Linked DNA regions of Oryza sativa Japonica Group. The main gene of each other region encodes a partner of the protein of the gene in region 4 in a complex. Links are inferred from orthologs where the notes say so. Each region holds a gene or a part of one and is shown on either strand. Other genes may lie near its edges.

Region 1 (3,796 bases), on a different chromosome or scaffold from region 4:
CTCTCTTGCTCTCCAGCTCTCTGTAACTCCTTCACACACAGATCCACCAGAACACAGGAGTAGGGTATTACGCTTTTCAGCGGCCCGAACCTGTCTACATCGCCCGTGTCTCGTGCATTTGCTCTCTCGCGAATATTCCACAGATCGAGGGTGAAGAACCTCACTTAGCGCCCCCGGCCGAACCGGCAAAGGGGGGCCTGCGCGGTCTCCCGGTGAGGAGCCCCAAGCTCCGACAGTGTTAGTATGTTGCTTCGTTTTGCATGCGAAGGGGGTTTTCAATCCCTCCAGAAGAACATATGCTAAGTAAAGCAATATTTTGTTATATATAAGTGATCAGGTAGAGCGAAGGGCATAGAAAACAATAAAGATATAGCAAAATGTGAATTGTGAAAATACTAGTGATGGAGCGCAAGATTTGTGTTTTTGAATCTCACTCGCGTAGAAGGCAATGGATTTCTCTCGTTGCTTTCAATTCTTGAACAACGTTATTGGTTCGATAGAATTTGAAGTGTTCAATCACTATTTTGTAGTGAGCTATTCTGAACTGTGTTAGTGCAATGAAGGTCATCGAGAGTGCAAGTGGCTAACCTACAAAAACCCACTTATATACTAAAACAAACCATCTGTACCAAACTCAGTTCCCATTGATATCTTCCCACCTGGTGCACAGGGGCACCGTGCTAAGGTACAATTGATCTAGGTAAAAACACTTGACTTTAAGTAAGGACACTGGATAGCACGTTATCTAAAATAAAACTCGGTAAAGTTATATGGTCTCAATGGCAAAGCTAGCAGCATACTTAAACCTGGGAGACAAGGAACGTTTACTAGTGATCCATAAATTTTCGGTATTGCTAAAAATATGTCGCTACAAATTACGATGGATTTCAGTCGGTTGTTTCAACCGTCAGATGCGGATGCAGAAATCATCGCAGTGTACGCATATCCCTCCGATTCTGTTCTCTTCTGATCTCTTCTGTTGTTTTAATGTTATTTGCTAATTAGGATTACTAATTAGTCTTAAAAACTAAATATCCGTGTCATCACAAATTTATAGTTTTGGGAATTACATCAACTTACACATGTAATTTTGAGAATTGCATATGTAATTTTAGTACTTACATATGTAATTTTGGAATTTACATTGTAAATACACTAAAATTATATATGTAATTTAGGGACTTGCAATGTAAATACATGCCGACTATTTTTTTGGTGAAAAATACGGCGCTATAAATATATATATAGTTACTCCCTAAATTTTTACATGTGCTATCAATGGAGAATAGTAGCAACATCAGCGGCGGAGTCTGTACGGTCGCCCGACCTGCCCAGGAGGTAGCTCCGCCTGTCTAGCCTAACCTGTAATTTATTATGCACCCGTGGTATTTTGCAACTGTTACGGAATCCACCTCCCCGGCAAAGAAAGCGTATTCCTAAAAAGCGCCTCTCTGCAGGCGGGAGGATAAGGGGGCATTAGCCGCAAACCCCAATCCAATCGAATTCAACACGAAAAACAACCAAAGCAGCAAGCGAAGCCGGGACACTGCTGGAGTGAGCAAATCCCCGCTCGAATCCGGGGCACCAAGAATGGCCATGGCGGCCGTGGGCATCGGCGGCGGCGGCGGCGGCGCGCTGGGCCTCCTCGCGCCGCGCCGCCGCGCCGCCTCCTGGAGCGGCGCAGGTGGCGCGGCTGCGGCGGCGGCGCGGCGGCGGCCGCTGGTGGCGGTGGTGCGCGCGTCGTACGAGGCCGGGGTCGGGGTGATGGCGACCAAGGTCGGGATGATGACCTACTTCGACCCGGCCACCGGCAAGCCGGTGCCGGTGACCGTCGTGGGGTTCCGGGAGGGCGGCAACGTGGTGACGCAGGTGAAGACGGCGGCCACCGACGGGTACGACGCCGTGCAGGTGGGGTACCACGGCGTCCGCGAGGAGAAGCTCACCCGCCCGGAGCTCGGCCACCTCGGCAAGGCCGGCGCGCCGCCGCTCCGCCACCTGCAGGAGTTCCGCCTCCAGTCCGTCGACGGGTACGACCCCGGCCAGCCGCTCGACTTCGCCGACATGTTCAAGGAGGGCGACCTCGTCGACATCTCCGGCAAGTCCATCGGCAAGGGGTTCCAAGGTCAGTAAACTTGATTATTTTTTTTTACTCCCTTTTCACAATGTGACTACCATTTCGCCCTGTCTGAATTTGAACAATGCTTTACATTGTGAGGAAGACTTGAGAACAAGCTTGAAATTTTGCTGTATCAAATTTACCATATGCTCACCAATGTTAGTGTACAGAATTGTTCTTGGGAAGAATCATTTAGCCTCTTCTCTTGATTAGCGTCCTAGACTTGCACAATGGCATTGCCAATATGGCAATGTCAATGCTGTTCTTGGAGTTGCAGACCTGTACCATGTCAACACATTCGTTATAGTTCACAATTTATTGCAACCATCAGCATCACTTGTATAATTTTCATGAAGTGAATATAACATCGTAAACCCGTTGCAATTGCGCTCTTGATTTGCTGCGACCAACGATTTGCCAATACCGCAAACATTATCCATTTCATGTATATTCTTCCCAAACAACATAATAAAAAAGACACAAATATTAGAGAAGGACCTAATATCAAATAATTAGAATGGGTGAGGCTTCGAACCCAGGTCGTCTAGCCTACCACCTTGTGGAGCTAGTTGGAAGACCCCTGGGTGTTTCTCCCCAAACAACATAATCGTTTATAGCATTCTCATGAAGTCAAGAGCACCAATATCTCTTTTAGTTCCTGATCATCTAATGGCAATATGGCATAATTGTGCAACTATGCTCTCAATTTGCGACTGACGGTTCTTGGACATCGACACAGGTGGCATCAAGAGGCACAACTTCAAGCGAGGGCTGATGACCCACGGCTCCAAGAGCCACAGAGCTCTGGGATCGATCGGTGCCGGGACGACGCCGGGTCGGGTGTACAAGGGGAAGAAGATGCCCGGGAGGATGGGAGGAACCAAGACCAAGATCAGGAAGCTCAAGATCGTCAAGATCGACAACGACCTGAAAGTTGTCATGATCAAGGGCGCCGTTCCAGGGAAGCCCGGGAACCTCCTCCGCATCGCTCCTGCCAAGATCGTCGGCAAGAACATCCCCAAGAACTAGACTATTTTTCTCATGTGTTTCGTCCTGTTCTGTGAGATTTGTGATCTGTTGTTTACTGAATTACTGTAAATTGGAGATGTTCTTTGCCCATGTCCAGGTTTTGTATACGCGTAACTTTGAATTTCGTAAAGCTAATTTTTTTTCTACTCAATCTTATCGATCTCCCGTTCTCAGTTCACACTCTCTTTGGACTAGAAGCTAACAGAATCTTAATCATCTTGTGCTTGGATGTCAAATTTGCAATCACTGTTTATTCTGTGTTCAGGGAATGGAAACATGTAATGGTAGACGGTAGTGTAACAAACACATCTTGAGAATCAAACTTCACCAAGCGTCAACAATCTGACAGTTTTACCAACTTCTCCAATACTGAATTATTGTAAACTCTCATGTCTGAACAACCGAAGAGTGCAGAGCGCGACATGGCCAACCGCAGCAAGTGCAACAGAGGGAAAATGTTAACTAAGCATCATGTACAAACTACACATCAAGTGCAACAGCACGAAATGTCAATGTAAAGCTTCCAGTCACCATTAACGCTAACTTCTACAATATCTTCAGCAATGACACAGGGACAATAGGTTTCTTGCATCAGTCAATGCGACACATTATTAGGCCATGAAATATTCTCACACAAGTCACCGAAGCTGG
Region 2 (3,993 bases), on a different chromosome or scaffold from region 4:
CGTGGAGTCCGCTTGTTTGGTTTCTCCGATGGCGGGAAGGACGAAGTCATGGACGGCTGCATGACATGACGACGACGATGACATATACTCGATTATATACCCCTCTTCTCTTCGGTTTTCTCATCTCGTTGAGCAGTAGACATACTAATTCAATAAGATATATAATCGCCATTCTTTTTAAGAACGATTTGCTAGGTTTTTTTTTAATTTTTGTTCCTTTCGAGAAACAGGTCACCAGCTGGAGATCTTTGTCAGAAAAAGTACAACAAGATGATACTGGAGTATGATATACGAGGATGATATTTTGATGATACTCGTTGATAATTAAACAATGATACTTGATTATACTCTTTGATATTATTCATGAAGATACGGAGTATTTGCTAATACTCGTTCTTGCACATTGATACTTGATGATACTCGTTGATATTTGCTTATACTATTAATACACGTTTATACGTAATGGTAGCTAGTGATGTATCGTTGAGTTTCAAGATAGCACCAAAATAGTGTTATAATAATATATTTCTCGATTTATGTTATAACATGAATATTAGTGAAGGACCTAATATCAAATAATTAGAAGGGGTGAGGTTACGAATCCAGGTCATTTAGGCTATCACCTTGTGGAGCTAGCCGGAAGACCCCTGAGTGTTTCTCTTAATGTATGTTATAACATCTTGGCATCACATGTACTATCTATCTATCTTAGTAATATCGTCGAGGTATCACGTACATATATATCTCCTACCTTTCTCTATACGTTGAGTGGAAGGGGGTTACAATTTGGTGGATTATTATTACGACTTGTTTGGTATGAAACCATGCCAAAATATTGGCAATGCCAAATCTTGAGTAAATTTTGGTATTACTAAATTTTTGTTATTGTCTATTTGGCTTCACCTTATTGATTTAGCAAAATTTGACTCTAATTCAAATAGTTACGTGTTAACTATTCAAAGTTACCAAATAATTTATTTTTGACCTTTAAGTTATCAAAGAATTAGTAAGGCAAGAAGGAGCGCCAAACCAAAATGACCCTTAATCTTCAAGCCCATGACAACCCCGAAGAAAACCTTTGATACTGGGCCGATTTGAAAGGCCCAAAGCAGCGCAAAGCCCAAGAGAGAGGGCACCAAATCCGTTGGGGAAGTGGATAAGAGAGCAGCAGCCGCAGTTCCTTCCCTTCCCCCGCAATCCATCCCCAACGCCATGGCCTCCACGCTCGCCTGGAGCTCCGCCGCCTCCTCCTCCGCCCCCTCCTCCCGCCTCCCGCCGCGCCGCTCCCCGTCGCTGGTCGTCGTCGCCCAGGGCAAGGTCAAGAAGTATCGCCAGGTTTGGCTTCCACTTGTATTTTCTCTCCACAGTTGCAGCATGTATGTATGTATGTATTTAATTGCGATTCGTTCGAGCTAAGCAGTACTAGTACTGACTGATTGAACAAGCTGTTGCTGGTGATGCTTTTGTTTTGCCTCTTTTAGAACTAGCCATACCCAATGTACTGTCTGTCACCACCCTGTCCACTAATCAGTACAGTAGATTACAAAGCGCATGCGACTGCATTCCATCGATCGAAAAATTCGAAATGCAGCAGCTGTAAGCTTAAGATTACTGTGTGCATTCACACATCTGAGTATAGGAAAAGATACATTGCCATGGACGCATGCTCTGATGCAGTACATGGAAATGGAAGAAACTATCGTCATGTTTTTAATTAGGTGCCTCTTAGCATTGCAACTCAGATGCAAAAGTCATCTCTAATATGATTCTGTATATGCCCCGGAACGCCGGAATTGTTGGTTTGGCCATGCTGTTTGTTTGTAGGGAAAGTTGCAACTAAAAGGCATCTAGATACACCCAGTTCAAAATTTGCACCTGTAAACTGTAAAATGTTCCAAGCCTATGTCATCATCTTCCTTGTCTATTATGCATTTCTATACTTTAGCATGTAATGCACGATTCCGTATTTGATTTACTTCACTTGAGTTTCTTTTTCTCCCAGGTCATACTGACAGATGACATAGCAGAGGTGGGGAAGAAAGGGGACACGCTTAAAGTGAGGGCCGGGTTCTACCGCAACTTCCTTCTGCCAAAGGGCAAGGCAACGCTGCTCACCCCAGAAGTACTCAAGTAATCTTCTGTCTTACAGTCATTTACCACATCTCACGAATTGTATAGGCTATGTTTCAACCAACAGATAGGTGCTCCTAGTAAATTAATTGACGTATGCTTATGTTTCATCGTAGTTGGTTTTCACAGTATGCTGCAGGTGTAAATTTGCAGCTATTTATTCTGTTGTGTTAGCCATTGTATCTCTTGCCTCCTTGTGGAGCCCAGGATTGACATATAAATCTGCAAACTTTTATAGATGCCTATTCTGCATTTCTAGTTCAGTTCTTCTGGGGTGTTCAACATGTTCAATTAGTTCTTGTAAAAGGATGGCTAGTAAGCTACTTAATTTCCTCTGCTGCTGTCTACAGGGAAATGCAAGTAGAACAGGAGAGGATAGATGCTGAAAAGAAGCGGGTAAGTAAACCTATTATTCTATTTGTGGACTCAGTAAGAATTGATATAGTTGAAACTTATTCCTATTTGTTCCTGTCTGTCTAAAAACTACTGTGGTAGTTATACCCTACTAATCCTTGTTCTCCAGGGTACGTAGTTGTGGTTTAGCTTATTTTGTAAAAAGTCTAAAGCATGATTTGTTCCTACCAATATCATTTTCCATAAGAGTATAAGAACTTTCATCCAGTGTTAGCATAATCTTACCCTGTTGAGCATTTGTGCTTGAGTAGGTAAAAGAAGAGGCACAGCAACTTGCCCGTGTTTTTGAAACTATTGGGGCATTCAAAGTGCCACGTAAAGGTGGGAAAGGAAAACAGATATTTGGGAGGCAAGTTTTTATCGAGTAGATAGTTCTTTATGTATCGTCTTATTTTACTTGCACTTAATAACAAGTTTTTCTTCTATTCTACAGCGTCACAGCACAAGATCTTGTTGACATCATAAAGTCACAACTTAATAGGTATGCCCTTCTAAGTGCACTGACAATCACTACCTTTTAAGGAAGGATTGCGATGCTCTATTTGCTGCTGTTGCTTTGCTTACCGGAAACTATTTCATGTAGGGATGTCGACAAGCGTCTCGTGACAGTGCCAGAAATTCGTGAAATTGGGGAATACATTGCAGAGATTAAGCTTCACCCTGAAGTCACAGCTCAAGTAAGGCTGACCGTATATGCGAAATAAGCCCTGAAGCTGCTTGATTGAATCTTTAGTGGATGGTGGGCTTTGGATGAATTCTGATTTCACCAGGTAAGCTCATCTGCAAGGCATTCCATTGTTCCTTACCTTTTGCTCCGTTCTTAAGCTGTCATATACATTTCGTCAATTGTGTTAGCAGCTGAATTCATGCAATGATTTACTTGCAGAGATTTTTGCTGAAACTCCAAGGTGCAGTGTCACATCACGGGGCTTGGTCTTTACACATTGCCACTGTCCATCCTACCTGTAAAGTCAGTTTCTTGCACCTTTTTTTTTTTGACAAATTTATTTGTGTTAATGTTATGGGGTTAAATGGGCATGATGTAAACAACAAAGGGTTCAGAGTCTAGAGCAACTGATACTTGTCTTGTAATCTTGTTTAAAGGTGCACGTTCTTTATAGTCATATAGTTTGATAGAGCTACTACAATATTTGGGTTGGGTGGGCCAAAATGGCACGTAGGCAGTCTGGTGGTCGTAGGTTGGGCCGCTTGGTCGCTGTATTATTAGGCCCAAACATAGGGATTTCAACACATTTTTTAATGAAAACTTTCATCTGAAAAAACCTTCGTTTGGAAACTTCCATCCAGAAACTTTTCATCTGAAACTTTGACACGGACTTTATATGCCAAAAGTGTGTGCCGCGGGCAAAGCTGAGCTAATTAGTCATCCTGTTAGTACATAAACTATTTGGGTTAGATTTGTTTGTGGGTGAGGGTGGAAAAAGTTAG
Region 3 (4,092 bases), on a different chromosome or scaffold from region 4:
ATGCATAGAAACGTAGACTTCTGAGTCAACCGTGTTAGAATAGCTTGGCCAAAGATGCTCGATGATTCGAAATCTTCGGTCAAAAAGCTTGGAATTCATAGTATAACGACCACTGTCACTATGCTATTTGGTTTTAGGTAGAGAAACCAAGAGTTCTTCGATTCGAAATTAGGTTGGTTCCTCAACCTCCTCACATGGATCGGAAGGCTTCGATTCGAAGTCGTCCGATTCACATCGGTGCCATCTACCTACCCATCCCCATTCCCCACCGCCCACGCCCAACCCTATCAAATGAAACGCGAGATTGCAACCCCCCAAAGAGAAGAAAACGGCAGCGGAAATGGCGACGTCCCGATCCCCCACGCGGCGTGATGGGGAAGAACTCCTCAGGCGTACGCGCATCGGCAGCGTCGTCACCGCGAAAGCGCCCCCCAAAAGAGAGAGGAAATGGGTCCCAGAAAAGCGCAAAAGGGACGGAACTTGGGGGGTTGCTTGCCTCCGCAACTGTCGCTTGGCTTGCGCGCGTCGCCGGCGACGTCGAAGCCGCCGGAATCCGGGAGGCGCCACGCCTGGGCGCCCCCGCCGAAGCAGCATCTCGCGGCGCGTGGCGTGGTGATGATGCGTGTGGAGACGAAGCCACGCAACGCAACGAGGAAGACGACGAGCGTATGCTGGGCTGGGCCTTATCCGAAAACGGGTGTCGGCCCATATCAACCCAGGACGTTCGGCCCACGTTACTTGACCACAAACGGGATTGCGGACGACGAGCGGCCCACGACATTTGGGCCTTAACCGGATTGCTGACGTGCGTGATAGTAAGTCTATTTTGCCTCCCTCATGTTCTCTGCGAGTCAGCCTGCCACGTCAACAGGAACCACCCTACAAACCATCTAAGGGTTGATCTGCTACGGTTTTCGCTTATTCGAATCGTTTATTAGCAAATAAAAATTTATTTATGAGTAAAATGTTTATATATGTCCATAATAACTTAAAGCAAATGTTGTAAAATATAAGCATTTTAAAAAAACAAAAAAGCAAATTCAAAACTAAGTTCTCAAATTCAAATTTTGGCTCATAAATATAAGCATAACCAAACAATAAGACCGATTTTCCTCCATTTTGCGGTTGAGGGAGGTAATTCAATCAGGAGCAGAGATGAGAAATGTACAATAGATTTTATCTGTGTAGGTGCGACCTGTTCTTGTTGGGTCGAGACGGGATTGCGGCTTACGTGAGGCCCGCTATATTTGAGCCTGAACGGGATCGCGGCTGACTTGGGCCGTAAGGTCCGTTGTAGTTGGGCTGGATTACGATAGGCCTTTCATTAGGCCTTTATGAGTCTTACAAGTGGGCCAATCCATTCGGCCTAGAGGCCCATTTGTCATGTAGAAAAGCGCTCGCCATTATCCTGTCCGCGAGCACACGAAGGCGTTCGTTATCCTCTGCTGCTTCTCTGCGGTTTGAGCGAGCGAGGGAGGAAGAGGAGGGGAGGAGACGAAGATGGCCGGGGTGGCGGCGTTGCAGGGCGCGATGGCGTCCCTCTCCATCTCTGCGCCGGGGGCGGCGAGCACCAGCAGCTTCTGGGGCCACCCGCTCTCCACCTTCGCCGCCGCGCCGGCTGGGGTTTGTGCCGACTCCCAACCCTGATTCTCATTTTTCGCATTCCTTTATGTTTGCTCTGCTCTTATGATTCGCTGGAAAAGTAGAAATGCCAGCTTGCACTGAGATTTAGGATTTTAGAGCTCACCAACAGCGTGGCATTGCAATGGTGATGTCTACATCGCCTCACTGTACTGTTGTTGCCTTCAGGAGTTCAGGCTCAGGACCTCAACTAGCCAACAACCAACGTTGTGTCAAAATTTTGTGGTATATTTTTTTTAGAGAAAAGGTCTCAAGGATTTTGTGGTATAGTTGAACCTAGTTGGCTAGTATAAGGAGGGTTTATATGAATTAATGAATGCTTGAAATCTCAAGTTTGAGTATATCAACTGAGTGAATTCAGAAGTTAGAAATTGTGTTGTCTACCATGGGATGTGGCCTGTTATGTTTCAGTTTAAACTTGAATATTATTTTTTTCCTATGGTGGTATAAGCGATGGATACCCAATATTCAGCCTTTCAAGCAGAGGATTATTTTTCTGAAAGATGTGCCCTCTAGTGAGACAGACCATTTCTTGTTCTAACCTGCTGTATAGATCACATTTCGCTGGCTAGAAACAATTTTGCCTTTGAACTTTAAATTACTCAACAGTAGAAATTTCACAGAAGACTTCCATGGGAAAATGATGGAAACTCATTTCACTCGGGGATAGCCTGTAGCAAATGATTGGCACACTCGGTATACTTATCAGACTGAACTTGTTCTATCTTTTGTATATTCTTTTTGGCGTTCCTTAGCTCTTCTAGATAGTCTACTGCACTTCGTCCTCAGAATGAGACTCACTCACGACTAATTACTTACCTGGAAAGTGGTGATGAGAGAAAATAAGGCCGAATAATTGCTCTTGAATGGAGTGACTGAGCTATATATGGCACTTATATGATGAACTGTACTAAAATCTGCACTTATATGAAGAAACTCGTACTAAAAGATCATATGATTATCCTAGATATTCTTGCCTAAGAAACATCGTGAGCATGATTCATGTCATATCTCAAAAGCAGCTGATTATTACATTTTATGTCATTTTCATAAGAAACTCTGACAAGATATGCATAAATTTTTATATGCAGGTTAAATTTATGATCAAGACATGCCCAATTCAAATGAGGGTAAGTTTCAATTCTTTTTTGGTCTGCAGCTTGCTATTTACTCAAATGTCTGAAATTTCCCTTTTTCCAATGCAGCTTAAGCGATGGGAGAGGAAGAAGTGTAAACCAAACAGTCTTCCTGTCCTGCACAAGATGCATGTTAGGATTGGCGATACAGTACAAGTCATTGCAGGCCGTGAGAAAGGTAAAGTTGGAGAAGTTACGCGGCTTTTTAAGCACAACAGCACTGTAATAGTGAAGGACTTGAACTTGAAGTCCAAGCACAAGAAAGGAACAGAAGATGAACCGGGTGAAATCGTCATGGTCAGCATTGTTTCTCTTGAAACTTCTTTCTGTGCTGCTTCTAGCTAGTGTCGTATATATAGTTTCAGATGCCTGATCGTTAACCTATGGTTGTTGGTGTTTTCTTTGATCAGATTGAAGGCCCCATTCACAGCTCAAATGTGATGCTCTACTCAAAGGAAAAGAATGTGGCGAGTAGGGTTGGACACAAATTCCTTGAGGATGGAACGAAGGTTCGGTACCTGGTCAAGACTGGTGAAATAATTGACAGTGCTGAGAATTGGGTCAAGGTGTTCAAGGAAGGAAGTTCGGAGTGATCATGGTAGCATGGGAGTCCTGCACATTTTCTGAACTGCACTTTTTGTATGCCCAAATGAGTTGATGCTTTTCTAGATTCAGATTTCAGAGTCTTGTAAATTTCTATACAGTTGCCAACATTTTTTTGTATCCAATGACATGCTTGGCTTGTTAACCAGCTACTAGAATGGTTCAGCTACATTCGCTCATACAAATGATTTTGTAATGTTGTTGCTGTCCCCTGTCCTGAGCTATTATTCGCAACCATTGACTAATTTGGTCCATTTCCATATAGAAATATAGATGAGATGTACATATAAAACCCATGAATGATTGATAAGTTCTTTTTTTTAAGGAGTAGTAAGATAGGAGTATCATAAAAGAAACAAGCTTAGCAATTTTTTTTTTGAAACAACCCGCAGCGATGTTTCTATTGATATAGTAGGAAAAAAATACAAATATATAGTGCTAAAAGATAGCGATGTTTCTATTGATATAGTAGGAAAAAAAATACAAATATATAGTGCTAAAAGATTATAGTCAGAAAAAGGAAAAAACAAATCTGATTTGCCATTGATAACATGAAAGCTCAAGAGCTCGTGCTGACGGCTGAGAATCAACATAGCAGATATGGCACGCAAATATCAAATCCAGGTGATCGTAAGCAAACCACAGTTTTCTGCTTGCGTTTTGCTCCGCGAGGGAAACCTGACACCTGTCCAGATCCCATGAGACGAAGATG
Region 4 (2,980 bases):
AGACCAGAGGGGCCAACTTCCTTAAGCCTTCTCCCTTGCAACCAAGCAAAGTCCCAGAATTTCGCTTTTGTACCATCTCCAACTGTCGTCGTCGTTCCCACAAAGAGGAGTTTGCCAATGTTGTCGCAAGGCGTCTCCGACCCCACTCAAAGCTTTCTTAGATAAACAATGTAGCAATCAGTGGCGCTTGGCGAGCCCATGGTTCAATTTTTCGTTTTCAGTATTTGTATTGGGGTGCTGATATACCGAAATTTGGTCCAGAATTATTTGAATTTTCGAACAAAATTTGGTCAAATTTGAATAAATATTACTAAATTCACACAAAAGAATAAAAAAAACTTTGGTCGAACCGGAAATTTGAACCCTGCGAGCCAGCCTGCGAGACTTGTCGTAGATTCTGTAAATCTTCTCTGACACTGATACAACGATGGCTCGTGCATCATCCTCATCCTCCTCTCCGGCAGCATTGATGTCCATGTCGAAGCTACGCTCGGCTGGAGGATCTCTGCACGCTCCATAATCTTGATGGGTGTCCGCGAGCTGAAGGAGCAGAAGCTTCCATCCCCAATGGCGCACGAGAGCTGACGACCCGGATCAACCATTGGCAGCAGCTCCTGTACAGACACCTCCTCGTCCTCGATGCTGAAACTGCTCTACGCCGGCGACGGCGACGGCGACGGCGACGACGAGGAGGAGACATTCTTGATGCGGTACACGGCGGCGCCGGCGCGTGCTTCGGCTTGGAGTGGGAGACGAAGAGGTTGTCGCTAGCTGCTCTTCTCATCACCGATGGGCACCCGCTTGGCCGTCGAACGGGAGGTTCTTGTCGTCGGCGAGCTCCCCCACCTCTTGCTATCCACGTCGAACGCAGGATGTGGCGGCCGGCGGCGGCGTAGGACGCGACGGCGAGCGCGGCCGGGCGGAGGGGACGCCGCCGATGCGGATTGTCGCCGCCACCCGCGGCGGCGGCGGAGGCGGCGAGAGGAGAAAAAGAAAATCAAAATCAAAATTTCTCTCCACCTATGACATGTGGGCCAACTGCCAAGCAGCCTTACTTGACGGAGATTAAATCTGGCCGTTGATTCTCCATCGGACGGCGGAGCGCTCACAGCAGCACAGGCTTATCTCCTCCCTCCGGGCTGATGGGTGGATAGGCTGACGACGGGCCAAGAAGCCGAATCCCACACTGCCCGTGGCCATGGCGCTGCTCCTCTCCCCGACCGTCTCCTTCCTCGCCTCCTCCTCCGCCTCCCCGCCTCGCGCCAGAGCTCTCCCCGCCTCCGCCAATGTCGCCTCCACCATCCCCGGTAACCTCCGTGAACGCCTTCTCCGTACCGGGACTTTTGCGCATAAGTTACTCGGGTTGTGGGGTGTTGGTTCTTGGATTGGATTATGCTGAGTGGGTACGAGGCTATCCATTGTTGTGAGGTGTGATTTGTAATTCGGTGGGAGGATTGGTCTAGATATTTGACGTTGGTGATTCGTGGCGTTTCTGATTCTCTGGGATGCGGTTGGCTCGTTAGGGAATTTCTTCAAACACGTCGTGTGCAGATGCAGTAATTCGTGGGAGATTCCGTGCATTTATCATCTCTGTACAAAGCTAGGTATAATTCATCTCAGTGAACTCTGCAGATTCTCGAAGCTTTGGTTCTTTCGTGCTTAAATGATAATATCAGATGCTATGTAAGCACCGGTCACTGGCAAAGGGTGACATTCGTAGTACACCCTACATTTGGGGCCTGATTGTTAATAGATGAGTAGATTTTACATATCTGTGCTCTGCTAAGATTCATCATAATATGTAATTGAGAACACTAGGATTGTTACTAGTTATTGTACTATATACTATCCATGAAGTGGCACACATGAGCTAGACTTATTAGCTTTCAAGTTTCTTATATGACGGAGATTCTATCAAAATTTTGAAAGTAGCATGCATGTACTCTGAATTCTATATCTAAAATGATGCACATTGAGGCTTGCCATTTGTCCTTTCTGATGCTACAGCCCCAAGGCTCCAGTGCAAGAATCTCTCCTCGCAGAGCCCTCTGAATGCTTCTTTCACCAAGAAGAGGCTAGTTTCTGTCCATGCCTCGGCAGAGGCTGGCGCAGAAGAAGCTGGCACAGATCAACCAGAGGAGCCAAAACCCACGGTTTCGATTGAGACAATGCCGCTCGAAACTAAGCAGAAGATGATCATGGAGCAGAGGGCGAAGATGAAGCTGGCCAAGAAGCTGAGGCAGCGGCGCAGGAGGCTTGTCCAGAAGAGGCGGCTGAGGAAGAAAGGTAGATGGCCACCATCCAAGATGAAGAAGCTCAAGAACGTCTAACCAGCAGTGATGTCGGTCGCTGTTCTTCTGTACACCTCTATGTTCTGTTCATCCGTCTCTGTATTTCCTAAGCTGATGCCCAGCGAATTTTGCTGTTCAAAATATGAAACACAATGTTTGCAAAATGTGATTATTTCTTTCCCGATGAAATTTCATCTTGTATTTTTTAGATAATGGATAAACCGGTCACCGTTAAAAACACACAAAGCCCAGTACTGAACAAATTTTCTTCTAACATGTCCCTCCTTTTTCTCCTTTAGGCTTTAGCTGTCCTACAGAAGTACCACTAAATCTAATGTGTGTTCCCATAGTGGAAATATCATATGCACCTTGATGCCTTCTGTGTTTGTCAAAAACTCAAAATCATAGCAAATTTCAAGAAGCCTTGCTGTGCTGCACTCTATATTTGTGAGGTATTTGCCTGTATATACACTTCCATGATGTGTTTTGTTAGGGCCTCTCACAACTCTTTCGTCTGACCTGATGTTGATTAAAGCACAAAGGATCAACCTGGACAAGGAAATAACTGGAGCAAATTCGGGTTTGTTTGTTGTTTGCCACTTTGTCAGGCACGATGTGAACAATCTGAAGAGTGCCATTTTCGATTTTTTTTCTGATGCCCTTCCTGTTGATGTGGTTGTAAAATTTAT
Region 5 (3,983 bases), on a different chromosome or scaffold from region 4:
AAGATGTCTGAAAACCACTATAATTCAGAACTGTAATATGCAATTAGGGGTGAAGGACTACTGAAACAGTCATAGTTTGCCAAAAGATTATACGCCTTATGCCACTGGTTATCTTTGGTAAGGATTCAAAAGGGCAAAACTTCTGCAGTTCTTCATGAACCAAGGTTCTAAAAAGTGGTAAGCAGAATCCATGCAGCCACCTGCCTTGTAGATGCTTATATGGCCTAAGTCCTAACCAGCTGCTTATGTGCCCTAAGCAGTACAAGGTTGCACACAAACACCTTATATATGGCCTTGCAGAACTTCTCTTAGAACACTCGAATAAATCATGACCAGAACTGCATTGAACATAGTACTGTAACTGATCCCAAAATATTAGGACATAGCCCGTTCAATAAACTAAGCACCATTGGTACAGATGCCAAAAACAGTGAAATTAGCATCAGTAGTCACAAAAACTGTATAAAGTTACACAAACCAAAGCTAAAACATCCGTATCGTGGTAAAATGCTCTCTCTTTTTTTAAGCACAGTGAAAATAATACAGTTGGCTAGGATACACAATATCAGAATGAACAAAACAGATGGTGGAATAAACAAAGGATGGAACAACTGGATGACTGGCAGCACTCGAACACATGAACAAAGCAAATTTTGTTCAAAAACTGTTCTTCCAGACAAGAAAAGGTAGCACTCGTATTCTAATGTACTACCAGTTGTTTGTAACTACAGAACTTACAATTGCTCTTAAGCTGGAACATACTCAAGTATCGGGTCAGCAGGGAAGTCCTCGTATCCACTTATGCCGGTAATTCTTAACCTTGTGTTTGGCTGCAAAACAACAGAGATTTTTAATCTAAAAGAACTCTAATTGCTTCGCTGTAAAAACTGAATCAGTATTTATCAATAAAATTCTACCTTTCTTGAAGAAGGTAATTGGAAAAACTTACCTGTCTGTGACCAAGTTTCCTCTGGTACTTCTTCTTCTTCTTATATTTGAAGACTATCACTTTATCATCCCGTCCCTGATATAAAAATATTGGGGAGACATCAGGGTCAAGTAATTTTGAATATCCATGATTAACCCGACAACATACAGAGGACATACCTGTTCCTCAACCACTGCATGAACAGCAGCATTGGTCACCACTGGCATGCCAATGTAAGCCTTGTCTCTAGTTGATACCAGTAATACCTTGTTTAATATTATCTGCACATCAGCATTATCCAGAAGTGAGAATTTCTGGGAAAACAATACTAAAAATGCCAGCAACATAAGCCAACGTATGGGTCCTATGGGATTGGAAGCTTTGCATCAGAGGAGTAATTTTAGTTAGAAAAGGAACGAAGCTAATATATGCAGGCTACACAAAACTTATCGAAAAGTTCTGAATAAGATATTTATGTGAAATCAGGAACTGGGATTGAAGTGTTATAATTACAGGGAAGTGACTCTTTTACTTCTAAAATGAAGTAGGTCACTACCACTTTCCATAATTTCAGAATGTACAACCTTCCTCGTTGTTTTGAAGTTTGTTATTGCATCTCATGGATGAAAAAGAATAATAACCAAATAACCAATACTATATATTTGCCTTTTCCTAATTTACAATCACCTTATCTAGAAGCCACCTCAGCATCATATACCTTTTAAATTTATGGATTAATACAAACCAACTAACTAGCAAAAATAGGCCAAATTTCTAGTTAGGGTGTAACAAGTATCCTCCTGCATCCTCTAAAGTGGAAGCACCAGACCTGATCATTGACATTGGCGCCTTTCAGCCTCTGCGTGTATATATACCTTCCAGGCATCACAATGTACTGTCTCGACCCAATCTGCGACAGAAGAAAAATAATCAAAATAGCTCCCTCGTTATTATTCACAGCGCTCATACAAAACAAAACACAGAGAAACCCTCCTCAGATGCACTCCTGCATATTTCAGAAATGCATCCGAACAATTCTCTGTAAGACTAGTATTGTATCATTCGAAAACACTGTAATTCTCTGCGCCGTTTTCTTAATGGTGTGTCCTGTACATACTAATAATCGGCGTGCGCGCATTCCTATTGGCGCGTGAATCCTAAGCTTCTTATGCAGCATAGAGTAAGCAACACAAGCCTGAAATCAAATGCTCACTTCACCGCAAGAAGCAACGCAACTAGCGCCAAATGCCTGTGTAATGATATTATTTAAAGAATTCGAGGTAATGTAGCATGAACAAATGTGATTCTTTTTTTGTTTGTTTGCAGTGAGCCGAGCAGGACTAAATCTGAAATATTGGCGGCAAGGGCAAGCTAGCCCCACCATGACAACGGCGAAGATGTCGGCGTCCTTCCCGGCGCCCGCGGCTGCGATCTGCGCCTCCACAGGCTCCGGCACCGCAGCCTCCTCTTCTTCAACCTCCTCCTCCTCTACCACCTCCGCCTCGGCCTCGGCCTCCACGGGTGCGGGCGCCGGCTCCTCGGCGGAAGCGAGGAGCCGCCAGCAGCGGCGGGGCGCGGACGCGGCGACGGGGAGGGAGCATCGCGAGGCCGGGAGGGACGGGGCGGAGGGGAAGGCTAGGGTTTTGGAGGCGAGGAGGCGGAGGGGCAGCGTCGCGGTGGCCATGGCCGGCGCGCGGGGGGGAAGAGCAGTGTGGATGAGAGTGTGGGCTATCGTATCGGAAAGAAAGAAGAGGGATAATATTGTGGATAGGGAGGTTACCCTGAGCCGTTCGATTGGAGATCAACGGCTCAGATTAGATACCCATGAAAAACATGAAACTATGCCCTACTAGTTTTTTAGCGATACTGCACGTACTCATTTTGTTTCTCCTTTCTAAAGTTTAGAATCGTTTGATTTAATCAGTTAAAGATTATAAAAGAGTTGGATCGAATGTGTTGATTAGACCATAAAGAATATGCGAATTAACACGAGTGATGAGAACTCTCGTGAACTCTCGGACGAAAGAGCCAAACTGAACTACTACGCCTCCTCGACCCCTCTTCCTCACAGGCTCGGGTGACCTTGCCGCCGGCGAGGTGAGGGAGAGAAGTCCGACAAACTCTCTCTTTGTAGGTCAATCAATTTAGTTGGGTTTTTCTTTTAGTTTGAGCGTGAAGGTCGGCGATGTTGGCCTTCTAGTCCTAGGTTTCATGGAGAAGGCAATCGAAGTTTCTTCTCTAGTGGTATCCCTCTAAAACACCGGGTAATTCTCTATCACCGTGAGTTAGGAGAAAGCTAGACCTAGTTAAGGGAAGTTAGGCAAGTTATCTTTCTTTTCTCCAGCAGGCTTTTCGCAAGGATGATAGTTTTCTTCCTCTTTATTGGTGGCAAACCTTCAAGAAGCAGTTGAGTTTTGTTTGCTATATGCTTGGATTCCTCAACCTTAGGCTATGGAGGCCCTAATAAGGTAAGCTTCTTGGTGCTTTTTTATGCAACTTGCCATGAAATCTTTGTCTCTATCACCAATATCAACGATTAGGTTGTCGACCTTGATGGTTCTGCTCCAAGAACAATCTCATTTAGCTCTGGATGTACTCATCTATGGTATTGATGAACCTTTTCATGAATTGTCATGGCCTTAACCTCTATTGTTGTGAAACCCTATTTGGGAATGCGTCAAGGCAACATCTTCTGTAGCTCGCCGTGTCCATGTAGCACCCACTGCCATCAAGTATGTCACCAGTCACCACCAATGTGGGCATAAGACAGAGGAGGACCTGATTGTTGTTTTTTTTTTCAAATCTTGTTGAGTCCTCCTTTGCTTATATTTTGACCTAGCCATCTTAAAGAGACTATCTTCCGTACTCCCAGTTCTATCAACAATGAACATTGACATGTTCAGTAGTCACATTTCTATGGCATTGCTTCGACTGTGTAGCCGTAGCCAATGCAAGGTATAGCGCACTATTGCTTGGCCTGTTGCTATATGCTGCAGCCCATGCAAGCGCATCAAAGGCTATCAAACAACATTGATAAACTGTGAGACTGTTATCT
Region 6 (3,961 bases), on a different chromosome or scaffold from region 4:
TGGAAGAAACCTCTGCTGGGTTTCCTCCTGATGACTCTATTGGTATTTCTGGAATGGAGTCCTCTTCAAGAGACACAGCTAATAAGAAAATCAAATTGTCAAAGGATATTGGTTTGGACCGTCTAACCGCCACAACTGTTCAGGAAGCACCGAAGCGTCCAAGAACAACCTCACTAAAGAAGAATCAAGAGTGCAGCAGACAGAAGAAAAGAAAAATAAGCAAGTGGGATGGTTCCTACTCTGTAATCATTGAATGGTTGAATTACTATTCTGTGGATGAGTCAGATGAAGATGAGGTGCCTTTGATAAATAAAAGAACCGAAAGAAGAAAGCGGCAGAAGTTACTGAAACTTGTTCTTGCTAGGGAATCCAATAGTGGCAGTGAAGGTGCTAGTTCTACATCTTTTGTAGAAAATGGCAGAAATTCTAGCAGTGCTGGCTCTTACCCCCTAAGCCAGGGGGACAATGACAAATCTGAAAATGTGCAAGCTAATCGAGTTGATGTAAGTTCATTGCCAGATCATCCTGTAAGTAGTCATGTAGCAGCAGAGGATCAAGCTGGCCAAGCTGCATCGTCACCATTGAACTCACCAACTAGAGGTATCGTTGTTGACATTTCAGATGGTTGATGGCCAGAGTTCCATTAGTTTCTTTCAGCTGAGGCCTGGACGTACAATTATCCAGACTACAGTTGTAACACTTACTTTTAATTCCTTGCACCTGTCTACTGCTAGACATGCAACGGGACGATCCTGTGAAGCATGTGTCTTGTACATGTCTTCGTTTCTTCCTTTCTCATTTCACCTTTTCTTTTCTTAGCATAGATCAGTTCAGTATACTTAACTCTGTCAGGTTGTGTGACCCATCAGTTTCTCTCCGTACTAGTCTCTTGAAGAACAGCAAAGATCAGGTTTTCTCTTTGGTTGATTGTGTGTGGAAGATCAATCCAAATATGTTCATTTCTTAAGAAGATAAATTCAGTTCTATTCTATTCATAAACTTTTGTAAACCTTCTAAAATCCTTTAATAAACAAGAAGCAAAGTGAGTAATACGAAACCATTCACAAAATAGAGGGAAAAGAGGCCCAAATTCCCAAGGGTTAATTGGATTCATGGCCCATTTATCCAACCGTCTTATCTCCCTCGTGTCCTTCCCCAATTATCCCCTTCTATCCACCCACACCAGCAAGCCGCTCAGGCGCGCTCTCCGCTCCACCGCCATGGCGTCCATCACCCTCCTCTCCCTCGCTCCCGCGGCCACATTGCTCCACCTCCCGGCCTCCACTTCGCTCTCCACCTCCTTCGTCGCCGCTCCAGGCCCCATCTCCGGCCGCCGGTCCGTCGTCCTCCGCGCCCGCCCGCGCCGCTGCGTCACGGTCGTGTGCAGCGCCGCGGCGGCCGAGGCCGCGGAGGCGGAGCCCGCGGAGAAGTTCCGGCTCGACAACCTGGGCCCGCAGAAGGGGTCGCGGCGGCGGCCGAAGCGGAAGGGGCGCGGTATCGCGGCGGGGCAGGGCGCGAGCTGCGGGTTCGGCATGCGTGGACAGAAGTCGCGCTCGGGGCCAGGCGTCCGGCGCGGGTTCGAGGGAGGGCAGATGCCGCTCTACCGCCGCATCCCCAAGCTGCGCGGCATTGCTGGAGGTGAGTCTCTTCGAGCTTCCCGCTTCCCCTCCTCGCCCTCAATCGAAGCCTCACACATTCAAATGCACTGGAAATTGAGTGGGAACACGCTAGCACCTTCCATTTGGAATGCAGAAATGCTGGGATTGAGAAGTGACCCGTTGCAAGTTCTACCTTGCGATTGCAGGAATGCATATTGGCTTGCCGAAGTATGTGCCGTTCAATTTGAGAGACTTGGCGCGTGGCGGGTTCAAGGATGGTGACGAGATATCATTGGAATCCTTGAAATCGAGGGGTTTGATTAATCCGTCTGGCAGGGAGAGAAAGCTTCCTCTGAAGGTACACTATACGACGATTATCCTTCTTTTTTTTAAGTCGGTTCTGTAGATGACCATGTTTTACTGAAAACTGAAATATGAATGCCTTGCATTTGATCTTTGCCAGTGAATTCATCAAGTTCACCAGCAGTCTTGGGTAATCCTTTAGTTGTTGATGTTGTGGATTGAATGGCTGGCCTTTTTTTTTCTTGTAGTTCTCAAATGTTGCTGTGTTGGTCTGTCCTTAGCAGCAATTACCAAGTTGAGTATTCGAAGTCTCAAAGTTGTGTGTCGGGATCAATTTTCTTAGCTCGTGTTGGACAAACACGGTATGATTTGACGAGTGTTTCTATTGGCTACTCAAGGATCTAGAACGTATGAGTTATGATGAACCCACACATGGTGTAGGCCTGCATATGAGCATATCTGTCAGGCATAAACATGAAGTGGTATCAAGATCCCAACAAAACCATGTGCTCTTACATGTACCACTGCATGTCTGCATCACTCCCAACATACCCAAAATATTTACTGTTTGTCTCCACTCTTAGTTGGCGGATTGCTGGAGTAGATGCATTAGTGTGCTACTGGGTTGCCCCTTATAGTGGGTAGTGGTGTGGCGCTTGATCACTGATGTGACAAAGACTTCTCCAAGGGTGGAACTTAATGCACCTTGAATAGCATAATTGTTCAACTTTTATTGTTCTTTCTGGTCCTATTTCATTTGATTGATTTTTTCTATACTCTAGGCTCCTAGCTATGTGGTACATATAAGGTAAAACCCACAGGGCTAAAACAGGTATCAAGACCTAAGTCATAATGTGGGGAGCTATCAACTTTATCCTTATGATAGGCTTTTTCCTTCTTGACATCTGATTCTGATGTTCAGCAGATGGCGTTCCTTTCATCTTTGTTTGAGTACAATGATACTGCAATGTTGCTGTTGTTATTGTATCTTTTATCATGCGGGTAGTATTAGTATGCTAACTTTTGAAAACCTATCTGTAGATTTTAGGAGATGGTGATGTATCAGTCAAGTTGAATATCAAGGCTGGGGCATTCTCTGCTTCAGCCAAGGAGAAGCTCGAGGCAGCTGGTTGTACTTTAAGTCTGGTACCAAAGCGGAAGAAATGGCTACCACAATCTTATCTGAAGAACCAAGCTCGTGCAGAAGAATACTTTAGCAAGAAAAATGGTGGTGCTGGTGAATCTGATGAAGCATCTGCATAGAATTCATATACACTGTACTTCTCCTTTACCCTTTTCTTTAACATATACTTATTTCTCTTACCTTGTTCCAAAAGTTCCACGTTCAACGAATTTTGAATCCGTGCGATATGCAAGCATTTTTTTTTGTGTGTTTCCTGTTTAAATGGAGAAAATTCCTTCTATACCCCTGAAAGTTTAGCCAATCCCTTCTACGCCTCCGAGTTTTGTCCACTCCTTTGTATGCCCCTGAATTTTGGTTTTGATCCCTTTCATACCCATACCGTTAGTTGAATGTTTAATTCTAATGAAAAGGACCTTTTTGCCCTTAGACATGAAGGAAATCTAAAAATTGTAGACTAGCTATATTGTTGGAAGTGTATAATTTTGTTATATAAGACTATCATATTCATGACTTTATTGTACAAGGTATTATTCATGGCAAAGTTTATTTTTACCTAATGACATAAAAACTAATATTTATTTACCTACTAAAAGAGTATATGTAGCATTTGTTTATGGTAGTTCAACATATTTTCTCCTGTTGTATATATTATATAGGAATGCTTTCCAAAACTATGTTTATCATTTAAAAAAATGCTACATGTACTTTTTAAATATATATTAAATTTTTTATGTACATAAAACTTATGAATATGATAATCACACAACAAATTTTATACTTCCAACAATATAGTTTACAAATTTCTACATATTCCTCACATATTGAAGGGTAAAACTGACTTTTATATACCTATTAAACGGTCAATTAACGGCAAGGGTATGGAAGAGATCCAAATCAAAATTCAGAGGTATACAAG
Region 7 (3,600 bases), about 25 Mb from region 4:
TCAAAATCTACTTGCATCCTTGATATGATACCATCAACAATGTCCATCAAGCTTGGCGCCGTGCGTATTGCTCCCTGCGGTGGACGGAGGACATGCTCAGCTTCGCCCTCGCACACATTGTACCAATAATTCCCTGGCTCCACGTCCCCAAATTTCCTAACGATCAGGGGATCCCTCGACTTGGAGAACTTGGTGGGCGCAACCCTGCTGTCCTCGATGATGCGGACTCCAAGCTGACCCTGTGCTCCCCACTTGTCCCAATCCTCCCAGAACCGCTTGTGTTCAACGATCCCGACCACGGATTGCAGGTGCTCAATGTCAATATAGAAGGCGAGGCGCTTGCCCTCCTCGGGCATGCCCCCGGCGTAGGCGGCGGCGAGACAGACGCTGAGATCGAGGACGAGGGTGCGGTTGAGGTAGCGGGCCTCGGCGATGGAGCAGAGGAGACTACGAAGATAATGCGGCATGGGCTTGCACCGGTCGCCGCCGCCAAGGTAAGAGAGGTACTTGCCCGCGGCGAACTGGGAGCGCGAGAGCGCGGGTGGGGGCGGCGGGGCGGTGGCGTTGGTCCCGCCGCGGCGGGGCTTGCGGGCGAGGGGGCCGGAGTGGTATTCCCCGATGGAGGTAACGGAGTAGGCGCAGGTGACGGGGTCGCGGGCGACGGAGAAGCGGCGGTAGTCCTTGTAGTTGGCGGAGGCGGTGGATCGGGCGCGCCAGGCCATGTCGCAGGAGGACGACGGCGGGTCGCCGGGGACGGGGCGGCCGAAGCGGTTGAAGTGGACGTCGGGGAAGGCGTCGATGGCGCGGCGCATCATGAGGTGGAAGAGCTGCGGGTCGGCGCAGTCGAGCGTGGAGGTGGTGTCGCAGCTGGCCTGATCCTGCTGCTCCAGGTGGGACGTGGTGGGCGTCAAGGCGGCGGTGGGAGGGGAGAGGGAGATGGGGAGGTTGCGGAGGGTGAGGAAGAGGAAGGCGACGAGCAAGAGGGCGGCGGCGGCGTGGGCGGAGGAGGTGATGAGGGCGCCCCGCCCCAGCAACGGCCGGCTCGGGTCCATCCGGCGACGGCGACGGCCGACGGCGATGAGATCTGGTGGCTGATTGTGTAATAAAGCCCCGTCTGCAGGCGGCGGACGGTGGTGAACTTGTTTCTAGGAAGACGACGAACTGTTCCTCTTAATGGGCCTAACATGAGTGGGCCTAAGACGAAGGCCCATGATTTGGCCCAAGAATCGCATCTCGTCGTGGATAAGACGATAAAGCAACATTGTGTGGGGATAGCCATAGCCCTGCACCGCACCTCGACTCCCCAAACATGGCGCTCGCCCTCGTCTCGCCAATGGCGGCTCTCTCACTCCACTCCGGGAGGATCTCAGCGGCGGCTATCGGCGGCGGCCTCCGCTCTCGCAGGGCATCCCCGATGGGCGCCGCCGCCACCCCGTTCCTCCGGAGCTCCTTCGTCTCCTCCTCCTCCACGTCATCCGCCTCCGCCTCCCCCGCCGCGCTCTCTGCCGCGGTCTCGGCGTCGCTGACCTTCACCTCTGCCTCCTCATTTGCTGGTGAGAATGTGTACTTTACTCGTTCCTGATTCGCTTCGTTCTGTTGCTACCATTTGGGTTGGGGAACTAGATGGAGGAGAGAGTTGCCTGCAAAGAGAAAGGGAGGAATGAACTTTTGTGCTGCTGGTTTCGGCTTTAAGTACTGTACAATGGAGTGTTTATACTGTCAGATAGGTAGCGTGTACAGTTAATCAGTGCTTAATGTCAGAAGATAACTAAACTAAACTAGCGATTTTAATGCAATTGATATATTTGAAAGTTCTGATGGTATTCTGGCAATTTCCTGAGAAATCTTAAATTCAAACTCTGCCGTACTTGTTAGCTGCTGTACGCAGCTTGTTATAATCTGCAATGTCTGATCCTAAAGCCCACGCATTCTTATAGTTAACCATGTGCTAGAGAATTTTGCTTAAGATGTGGATTCCGATTAAGATTAAAAAAAATCACTTGTTTACACATCCAGTTTTTTAGTGTAAGAACGTGTATATATATTCATAATTCAGTGATTAGTTCTAGATGGTTCCATGTTAGGAAACCTACACGGCTGAAAGTTTCTTTTCTTCCTCCATGTACTGTGATACTGATATTGTGATTTCCAGTAGTGCCAGATGGACTGTAGATTGTAGTACATTCTTGCGACAGAATCATGAAAACATCACAAAAACTCAGGAAACTCCACTTTTTGGAGCGAGCGCATGAGCTTAATTTAGTAAACTCATTATGAAATATATCATCTAACATAATTATACTACGAACTAACGAAATCACTGAATCAAGAACGTTTAACTGGACAACTCAACTTTTTAAACAGTTCAGTTACAATTAATAGCCTTGCCACCTAAAGCAAAACCAAAATGCTCCTAAAACAAGCCAATAACGTTAGATTAAAGGAACTATTGCAATGATATTATCCTTTTGGAAAATGAACTGTACTTTACATACTAGAGTTTTTTTCCAAATGATCTTAGAGAACAAAAACACAAACTAAGGGCAATCAAATAGCCGGTTTCTGTGCTGTACTGTTGTATTTAGCAAATCCATGTTCTTATGTATCAAACCATATTTGTTCCAACCTACAAATGATTTCAGTATCCTAATATGTTACATATTTCAGGTTCATCTTTGGGAATTGAATTCAGCTACAACAGAGTTACAACAGGAAGATCCCGGATTCTGCAGATTAGGGCTGGAAAGGCTGCTCTGTGCATGACCAAGAGAAATAGATCTAGGAAGTCGCTTGCCCGTACACATGGTTTTCGCAGACGGATGAGGACTACTGCCGGAAGAAAGGTCCTGAAGCGCAGACGCGCCAAAGGAAGAAGGGTTCTCTGCACAAAGACGAACTCCCCCACTGGGAAGAAACGAATGTTCTGATTGAATCGCATTCTAAGTCGCTCTTTGTCACAATTGTAAGTGTATTTTTTTATCCCACGTTCTCGGTTATACTCAACCATAACAATTGGTGCAAATCCTTCACCCGGTGTCCGGTTAATGTGTGAAGTACATTATCAACACAAATTCAAGTTAGCCTTTTTGCTTGTGCAGTATTTAGTAGTTGTTTGCTGTGGGAATATGTTCTCCTTGATCTGCATTGCCATGGTTTTCCTCTGATCTATCTTGACTGCATTCTGAGCATAGATTTTGCCAAAGGGCCTAAATGCTAACTTGAGCAGTTGCTCAAATAAACTCATCAATTTTTCTATTCTGTAGTAGAACGTCCCTTTTATTTTCTGATACAGTCCAGTGAATTTTAATATTCAGATCATCTCATCATAGTCACTCCATGCTCCACTGTGTAACACAATTTATCCACCTCCTCTGTGCCAATCTCTTTGGTACACACTTATTTGTAAAACAACCTGATTGCCCATCCAATCCTCTGTCACCTTATAATTTTGCTACTATCAGGCGAAAAAATGGATAATATCCAGAACTCAACCTGGAATAAATGAAAGGCAACAAGTAGCAAAGAGAACATTTACATTCTAACAAACTGAATCCCTCCTCTTCTTCACTCGCATCGGCAAGCCGCCTTCCATCCTCAAGG

What was found.
Region 1: large ribosomal subunit protein cL37 (region 4) and large ribosomal subunit protein uL3c share a complex: the UniProt entries of both Arabidopsis thaliana proteins name them as parts of the 50S ribosomal subunit. The link is inferred for Oryza sativa Japonica Group from reciprocal best matches to the Arabidopsis thaliana genes PSRP5 and AT2G43030.
Region 2: large ribosomal subunit protein cL37 (region 4) and large ribosomal subunit protein bL9c share a complex: the UniProt entries of both Arabidopsis thaliana proteins name them as parts of the 50S ribosomal subunit. The link is inferred for Oryza sativa Japonica Group from reciprocal best matches to the Arabidopsis thaliana genes PSRP5 and RPL9.
Region 3: large ribosomal subunit protein cL37 (region 4) and 50S ribosomal protein L24, chloroplastic share a complex: the UniProt entries of both Arabidopsis thaliana proteins name them as parts of the 50S ribosomal subunit. The link is inferred for Oryza sativa Japonica Group from reciprocal best matches to the Arabidopsis thaliana genes PSRP5 and RPL24.
Region 5: large ribosomal subunit protein cL37 (region 4) and large ribosomal subunit protein bL21c share a complex: the UniProt entries of both Arabidopsis thaliana proteins name them as parts of the 50S ribosomal subunit. The link is inferred for Oryza sativa Japonica Group from reciprocal best matches to the Arabidopsis thaliana genes PSRP5 and RPL21C.
Region 6: large ribosomal subunit protein cL37 (region 4) and large ribosomal subunit protein uL15c share a complex: the UniProt entries of both Arabidopsis thaliana proteins name them as parts of the 50S ribosomal subunit. The link is inferred for Oryza sativa Japonica Group from reciprocal best matches to the Arabidopsis thaliana genes PSRP5 and RPL15.
Region 7: large ribosomal subunit protein cL37 (region 4) and large ribosomal subunit protein bL34c share a complex: the UniProt entries of both Arabidopsis thaliana proteins name them as parts of the 50S ribosomal subunit. The link is inferred for Oryza sativa Japonica Group from reciprocal best matches to the Arabidopsis thaliana genes PSRP5 and AT1G29070.

The regions. Positions count from the first base shown.
Region 1 is NC_089036.1:1,980,082-1,983,877, reverse strand, and holds large ribosomal subunit protein uL3c, read left to right. Parts: upstream 1-1,496; 5' UTR 1,497-1,590; coding exon 1,591-2,122; intron 2,123-2,855; coding exon 2,856-3,145; 3' UTR 3,146-3,296; downstream 3,297-3,796. UniProt on the Arabidopsis thaliana protein: One of the primary rRNA binding proteins, it binds directly near the 3'-end of the 23S rRNA, where it nucleates assembly of the 50S subunit.
Region 2 is NC_089036.1:35,818,859-35,822,851, reverse strand, and holds large ribosomal subunit protein bL9c, read left to right. Parts: upstream 1-1,193; 5' UTR 1,194-1,212; coding exon 1,213-1,335; intron 1,336-2,002; coding exon 2,003-2,130; intron 2,131-2,480; coding exon 2,481-2,526; intron 2,527-2,795; coding exon 2,796-2,893; intron 2,894-2,977; coding exon 2,978-3,025; intron 3,026-3,127; coding exon 3,128-3,248; 3' UTR 3,249-3,314; intron 3,315-3,430; 3' UTR 3,431-3,668; downstream 3,669-3,993. UniProt on the Arabidopsis thaliana protein: Binds to the 23S rRNA.
Region 3 is NC_089040.1:29,338,661-29,342,752, reverse strand, and holds 50S ribosomal protein L24, chloroplastic, read left to right. Parts: upstream 1-1,420; 5' UTR 1,421-1,500; coding exon 1,501-1,623; intron 1,624-2,732; coding exon 2,733-2,771; intron 2,772-2,846; coding exon 2,847-3,074; intron 3,075-3,187; coding exon 3,188-3,370; 3' UTR 3,371-3,592; downstream 3,593-4,092. UniProt on the Arabidopsis thaliana protein: One of two assembly initiator proteins, it binds directly to the 5'-end of the 23S rRNA, where it nucleates assembly of the 50S subunit. Required for optimal plastid performance in terms of photosynthesis and growth.
Region 4 is NC_089035.1:9,871,317-9,874,296, forward strand, and holds large ribosomal subunit protein cL37, read left to right. Parts: upstream 1-1,152; 5' UTR 1,153-1,198; coding exon 1,199-1,307; intron 1,308-2,007; coding exon 2,008-2,330; 3' UTR 2,331-2,480; downstream 2,481-2,980.
Region 5 is NC_089036.1:9,030,857-9,034,839, forward strand, and holds large ribosomal subunit protein bL21c, read right to left. Parts: upstream 2,659-3,983; 5' UTR 2,613-2,658; coding exon 2,310-2,612; intron 1,839-2,309; coding exon 1,758-1,838; intron 1,210-1,757; coding exon 1,108-1,209; intron 1,025-1,107; coding exon 950-1,024; intron 831-949; coding exon 747-830; 3' UTR 501-746; downstream 1-500. UniProt on the Arabidopsis thaliana protein: This protein binds to 23S ribosomal RNA in the presence of protein L20.
Region 6 is NC_089037.1:6,341,805-6,345,765, forward strand, and holds the start of large ribosomal subunit protein uL15c, read left to right. Parts: upstream 1-1,161; 5' UTR 1,162-1,220; coding exon 1,221-1,638; intron 1,639-1,804; coding exon 1,805-1,956; intron 1,957-2,942; coding exon 2,943-3,164; 3' UTR 3,165-3,178; exon of another isoform or gene 3,179-3,280; intron 3,281-3,920; exon of another isoform or gene 3,921-3,961. Other genes in the region: uncharacterized protein, read left to right, coding at 1-629.
Region 7 is NC_089035.1:34,740,188-34,743,787, reverse strand, and holds large ribosomal subunit protein bL34c, read left to right. Parts: upstream 1-1,285; 5' UTR 1,286-1,309; coding exon 1,310-1,553; intron 1,554-2,666; exon of another isoform or gene 2,667-2,667; coding exon 2,668-2,927; 3' UTR 2,928-3,100; downstream 3,101-3,600. Other genes in the region: uncharacterized protein, read right to left, coding at 1-1,052. UniProt on the Arabidopsis thaliana protein: This protein binds directly to 23S ribosomal RNA.